Bombyx mori: one gene and its partner. The protein of the gene in region 1 interacts with the protein of each later gene in a biochemical or structural test. Links are inferred from orthologs where the notes say so. Each region holds a gene or a part of one and is shown on either strand. Other genes may lie near its edges.

The links.
Region 2: the proteins of DNA polymerase iota (region 1) and DNA polymerase eta interact in far-western blotting, tested with the Homo sapiens proteins (2 studies listed by BioGRID). The link is inferred for Bombyx mori from reciprocal best matches to the Homo sapiens genes POLI and POLH.

Annotation. Positions count from the first base shown.
Region 1 is NC_085131.1:9,772,814-9,777,104, forward strand, and holds the start of DNA polymerase iota, read right to left. Parts: upstream 2,821-4,291; 5' UTR 815-2,820; coding exon 804-814; intron 706-803; coding exon 1-705. UniProt on the Homo sapiens protein: Error-prone DNA polymerase specifically involved in DNA repair. Plays an important role in translesion synthesis, where the normal high-fidelity DNA polymerases cannot proceed and DNA synthesis stalls. Favors Hoogsteen base-pairing in the active site.
Region 2 is NC_085116.1:15,897,089-15,899,976, reverse strand, and holds the end of DNA polymerase eta, read left to right. Parts: intron 1-977; coding exon 978-2,131; 3' UTR 2,132-2,164; downstream 2,165-2,888. UniProt on the Homo sapiens protein: DNA polymerase specifically involved in the DNA repair by translesion synthesis (TLS). Due to low processivity on both damaged and normal DNA, cooperates with the heterotetrameric (REV3L, REV7, POLD2 and POLD3) POLZ complex for complete bypass of DNA lesions.

The DNA of each region.
Region 1 (4,291 bases):
TCCATTGTTTTGGAGCCAATACTTGGAATGGACCGGACACTGGTCAGAGTAGACATGTAATTGGCTCCATGTTGAGGAAATATTGTGGTCTGGTTGTTAGGTTTATGCAGGGGACAAATTAGTTTAGCCAACAACTTGTTATGAGCTATTCCGGCACAAGTTGTGTAACCCAACTCATCATAAATTTTCTTCCTCATTTCATTTGCAATTTGTGATGCTATTTTTAGTCTGTTGTGACAACCACATGGACATTCAGCACTCGGTTCACTATATAGCTGGCCCATAACTATGAGATCATTTAAGTTTGCATTTTTTAATTTTTCCTCCACAAGACTTGTCACATCAATGAAATTTTCATCCATTCCAAGTTTTTCAACGGGACACCGCCAACCTTGCAACACTAAAAACACCTTGCCTGATGCAGTTCTGTAACTATGTAAATCTTCACCATTTACAAGTTTCAAATTTGGACAAACCTTAAGTGCGTCAGTAACGAGCATACATTTACTAACTCCGTAGTTCCTTGCCTCGTAATTACTCGTCACTACAATGTTCTTCTGTTGGATACCGAGCGGTACATCACGGAGTTCGGGGTTTCGCACCATTTCCACTTGCGCGTAGAAACAATCTAAATCAATATGTATAATGCTCTTGAAATGTTCACCATCAATCTCGTTACAAGTGGAACAGCTCGATTCCATGTTTCTGTAATGTTAAAAGACATTTCACTCAGGATTTACTTTGTTCTAGTGCTGTTTTAGTAGTTGTATTATGTTGTGACGAGAGATTGACAAAGAACTTGCCTGTCGTCCATGTTCGTATCATTGAAAGCTGTAATAAGTTTTGCTTTCTTTAATTTGTATATTTATGTTATTTAATAATTGTTTTCTTTCATCAAATTTACAAAATAGTGAAACTAACAATCGGGCAATCGCGACACATCAACAGACTTAGTGTTGCAACATGCAAATATTTATATGAAATAATACGTCAAGTTTACATTTAATTTGTCTCGTTATCGACTAAACTTCTCAGAAAATTTTATCATAAATAAAACTATGGTCAGCCGGCACTTAGTGACTTCCATGGAGTTAATAAGTACCTACAACTGGAGTGCTGTCTAATGCCGAGAAATCGGTCTCGAAAGAGAATACTTTTTGGTCGCGGTGTCCTTGTCTAATGTGGTGACCATATAAAATTTATTTATAGGACAAAATTATACACATGCATCAGTTTTGAATTTACCTTAAGTAATTCTGTGTAACCCTATGTAAATACAAAACACGTGCTTGCAACGTTTTATTTATGTAAATTCAATTCTAAACATTGCTTCGTCGTCATGGTGACTTTTTTTCGACGATTTTTTTTGGAAATTGCTGCGTTGTCGAAAATCTAGCACTGAGTTTTATTACAAACATCATTACCTCAGTTCTATTACTTAAACTTCCTCAAACTCATGTTTAACGTCCGAATACTCAACCGCGACTTAAATATTATGTTGAACTTAATTACGCAATTCCTACTTTAATGTACTGGCTAAGTGGGCCGTGCAAATTAATATTTGACACACTGAGTGAGACACTGCAACACACATGGTCTGCGCGTATCGGGTGGTCTTTTCCTACATTCACATCTTAAATTGATTTAAAATTGCTTCTATTTTTACTTCTGTGCTATTTTCATGACACGTGTATATTAAGTCTACTAGTTACATTTTAGGAAATAAAACACAATGGGTAATAAATTGAAATGAACTGAAATTCATTTATTTGTTATATGTAGACAATTAAATAACTCTTAAATGACAAGTCAATACACATAACACAATACACATAGTACTTGATCTCTATTTACAAAATATTGGTTATATTATTATTATTAAGTTCAGTTAATTTTCTGTAGTCTTTTAATATAACATTTCCTCTATTTTAAGTGAATTCATTTTTTTCAATGAAATACATAATTTATTTTAATCAATATCTAAGTGGACCATGAGTATCATTAAAATGTCGCAATTTAAATTTCAATTCAATTAAAAATCGCCATTTTTCTTTAATAAATCTAAAATCGACTTTATATTTACAATCACTATTTCGCGACTTTTAAGTTTTTGTTTCAATACCTTATCATCTTGTCGTAATTTTGCTTTTCTCGAGGTATTTTTTATTTCTTGCGTTTGAGTACTTGATTCTTCTTGTTGGACCTTTATATAGGACATCTTCCAGAAATTCCAACGTCATATTTACTAGAAGATCCTCCTCGTTCGCTTAACGTCAGGCAAATGATATACATGCTTGCGTGCGACGCTATTCAATACAATAAAAAAAGTTCAAAAAATACCACGTGATGGCTCTTATAATATGAAAAATACATTGCAAAATTATAGTTTTCACGATTGTTTTTTCAAATTTAGTATATGACATAGATTAAGTACAATTTACAAGACAAATGGTATGAAATATTATAATGAGAAAAAATATCTCACAGTTTAAAAATATATGCTCACACTAGTAAAAATTTATCAATGAATCTGACATATGGAAGGATATTCCACAAACTGGAGAGGATTCTCGCTTAAAACCACTTACATTAAAAGTGCTCACCATGATTACACGGAAACTTTCACGATTTTCGAAAAAAAACAAGCCACAAGCTGTATCAGTGCCATTTTAACTTCGCACTAAAACGTAAATAGACGCCATTTTTCTTTTAATCCATTCATAGCTCTTTTTCGGTGATGCCAACAATTAATCTGGCTTCCCACCAAATTCAACATGAAAACCATCAGAAATCTACGTACCTACCATTAAATTTTTCATTAAACAGAGTTCTTATTAATATAGAACAAAAATTTTTTTGTTAATAAGCTTTATTAATATATGATGTTCTATTAAAAATCAATACTTCTTATATAATTTATTTTAATAAATTGTCATAATCAGAAACTAATTTCACCATAACTTTGTATGTTTATTTTGAACAAATTTAATTTTTGACGTTGATGGAAATTCTAAATTGTCGCAAAATTTTCTAGTTAAGTTTAAGTCACATCGTTTAAATAATATGTATTTAGACATATTATTGTCATAAAATGTTTAAAATCCTGTAAAGTGGATTGATTTTAACCTTTTCGATAATTTTCTACAACGCCCAAGCTACTAAAAAATCCACTAACCACTAAAAGCCATTTTTGATAACTAAGACGGGGGTCCGAATTCCGAGATTTTATGGAAAATCCTCTAAGCTAGCAACACTGCTTTTTGTTTGTAAAATGTGCGAGAGGGACACCACCACTTAATAATCATTCTCTTTTCAGACCGTTTTTCCTTACATCTTTTGCTATTTAAAAATAAACTTTAAAGCATAGAGATAAAGTATATTTTTAGTTTTTATGTCAAACGAAGTAAGCACTCCAGTTAGAATAGTAACTCTATGGTGACTTCAAATTATAATTAATGAATAGTAAAATAGCTTTGGACTCTGTGGTCAGCTCTAGTGCGAATATCACGTGGTTATCATCGCGGTCTATTAAATATTATTCTTGCATGTTATTTGTAAATATTTCCTTATTTGTGAGTGTTTAACATTTATTTATTTAGTTTAGTTTATGTTTCTCGGTGTTGGTAAGTAGTTTTATATTCTTTAAATATCATTTTTTCTTACTTATTATAAATTAATTCTTTTTTATGGTGTACCCTCACTTATAAAATGTAATATGAATTCTGACAAAAATAAACCTCCCGATCCGGGGATACCAGAACATGATTCTGAATCCCGGGATAGTGAATCCCTAGGATCTCCAAGTTTTTCAACATTGACAGCTCCTTCCATTCGGTCAAGTTCTTCCTCACCTATTCCTGACGTCGAGCTATTACCAAATGAAGCCTCATCGCGGAAAAGAGGCCCAATCGCAGATGATCAGTCCATTAGACACAAAATAACTAGGATTGAAAATTCGACAAAATCATCGAAAAATAATCAACCTTCGACCCCGGCATACACTCGTAAATACCTATCATCAGATTTGGGACCTTTTGCAGTACATGTTTCTAAGATTGAAAGTGACCCCTCTTCAGGAGTATCAATCCACCCTGTAAAATTTGGTCAATTCATCTTTAAACATAACATTCCACATATCAGTAAAGACGGAATTAAAAAATTAGGCCGTAACAGGATAGTTGTGGAATTTACGATCTCATCTGCTGCAAACGATTTCCTAGAAAATAGTCTCCTACTTGAAAAAGGCTATAAAGCTTTTATCCCGTCTTATCAGGTAACTCGCATGGGAATT
Region 2 (2,888 bases), on another chromosome or scaffold:
GCAGAGGTAACAATAATGTAATGTAACGACATATAGGGCTTATAGAGCAAATAGTCTGTGGTTATAAGTCAGCAGACGTTTGGAACTTAAATACATACACACAGTAAAAAAAACTGATGATCTTTTCCTCTACCTATTCACTGGTAGCCTAAGGTGCTATTCCAGCTACGTGCGGACGGGTGAGCGAGTTCAGGGGCTCAGGTTGAGAGAATTTGCTAGCTAGCTATCCTAGCAAGAGGAATGCACCACAGAATCTACCACATAATAGGAATCGCGACCCACTGAGATGATCCGATAAGAAACTTAATGAGCTGTGCCTATAGGAACGGGTCATCGGAATCATATAGTTGCGTGGTCACTGCCAGACACTGACAGATTACTGGTGGTAGGACCTCTTGTGAGTCCGCGCGGGTGGGTACCACCGCCCTGCCTATTTCTGCCGTGAAGCAGTAATGCATTTCGGTTTGGAGGGTGGGGCAGCCGTTGTAACTCAGAGTATACTTGAGACTTTAGAACTTATCTCAGGATGGGTGGCGCATTTACGTTGCAGATGTCTATGGGCTCCAGTAACCACTTAATACCATGTGGGCTGTGAGCTCGTCCACCCATCTTCTTCTTCTTCTTCGTCGCTTTTTTCATTGCTGAAGGTCGTGTCCCTGAAACTTGACCGTTGCCTGTCTCGTGAGCTGTTTCCATCTCGTCTGGTCCTCAGCTGCTCCACCCATTTAAGCAATAAAAAAAACAGCCATCCTGACTGTTACTGCATTGCAGCGGGCGGCCAACCTGAGACGGGTACATTCATGTAAGTCGATCTGATACTTCGACCTCATGTGTCACTATGATGTCTATGGATTCTGGTAACCACTTAGCACCGGGTACACCTTGAGTTTGTCCATCCAATTATCGCAGAAAATTAACATTTCACCCGGAGATTATGGGTGAATTTAAAAAATTAATTAATATAATTTGTATTAAAGATGTTGAAGACAACAGGAAACTGAAAGCGCCCATAGTTTTTTTGGGAATAAGCGTAGGTAAGTTCGAAGATAATTCTGAAACGAAGAAATCAAAGAAGATCAGGGATTACTTCGAAACTGGAGCTTCTAAGGACATTACGAACAAAGACAATAAAGTATCTTCATTAAAGTCCGAGGAGCTGTGTACGACCGCGCCGCTGGGAACTAACCATTGCAAAGCGAAGACGCTAGAATCGAAAGGAAAAAAAACTGCAGACAAAAGTTACATAATAAATAAATTCTTTAAAGAATCCAACATAAAGACGGAAGCCAATATAATTGAAGAACAAACTGCGCCCTCAGCAGAATATAAGGCGAAATGTGACTCCGTACTAGAGACCAGCTTAGACAGACAAGAATCGTTCTTTGCTAAAATTCTAAACGATAAGTTTAAGGAAAATAGAAATGTACTGAATTCAAAGAGTGACACAGTAATCAAACCGTGCACGCCGGTCTGTGACGTCATCGAGCGTGGCGAAGACAGTGACCAGTCGGATTATTCACGATCGACCATTAACGATGAAATCAATAAAAGTATTGCGCTGTTCGATGAAGATCCTCAGGACGTCCAACGTGTGGCCAGGACTAGGGAATTGCTCAAATCTAATGTTGAAGTAGAAATTGGGACAGCCGGCATTGACGTCGCCGGTCAGTCTGTGAGGGGTGAGGAGAACTACAGTTGTCCTGAATGCGGTAAAGCCGTACCCGTCGGAGATCTAGGAACCCACGCCGACTATCATCTCGCTTTGAACCTAAGAGACGAAGAGAGGCAAACGATTCGACTAGAGCGAGATCAGTTTGAAGCGCGAATTCCTGTTGAAGATAAAAAGAAAAAGAAACCTCCGGACGATATTAATAAAACTGAAAATACAATAGCAAATTTTTTCGTCAAAATCAACGAAAACGTACCGACGGAAACGTGTTCCGAGTGTGGGAGAAAAGTGCAGTTAGATAAGTTTTCCGAACATCTGGACTTCCACGAGGCTCAGAGAATTAGTCGAGAGCTCAACAAGAAGGTTACGGTGAAAATAGGAAGTGGCGAGAAAAGAAAAAGAAAGTCGCCCGTTCATAAATCCAAATTGCCTTGTAAATCTATAACATCATTTTTTAAATAATTGTGAGATTAATAAAATGAAATTAAATTTCAATATCGTTGTTGTTTATTTTATTAGGAGTAGAGCTGTCCGGCTGCTTTGTTTTTTAAACACCGTGTTTATTAACGTGTTTATTATTTATTAAACCCACAGAATTCGTGAAGATTGGATAAGAGAAATTTTAAATATTTCTGTTCATATAAAATTTATTTAATTATATTTATATCCTTTTGTCTGTTATGTACCTACTTACAATTGGTTGTTCATGGGTAACAAACGAAATTGCAATTTGTTTTCGGTTTGAATGATAATCTCGTGCATGAATTTAATTGCGTGTGTGAATATGACGTGATTAGCCAAATTATGTTGATTTATAATGTCAACTAGCGATCACGGGTGAAAGACCCATCGCAGTATGAAATGTTTAAAGTTGTACGTGGTGTCCCACAGAAAGATTGAATGATTTTGAGTCGATCGTCCTAAAAAATATTTTAGCTACAAAGTTTAAAAAGGGTTTTTTATAGTCAGAAGGAAATCGACGGACTTCCGCTCTCCACTGGGGATGGGCGGGGCATGTCGGAATCGAACCGACTAAAAACCTCCTGTCGTTTAACAACCCATGTCCGAACCTCACATGAGTCAGAACTCATGAGAAGGCAAAGGGAGGAAAGTGAAGCGATTAGTGTGGAGCACATCTCTCCCATAACCCTCCTCCTCGGGACGCCGGACCGGTCGTTGTCGGCACCACGACCACCAGCCCTCTTGGTCGGCACGCTAT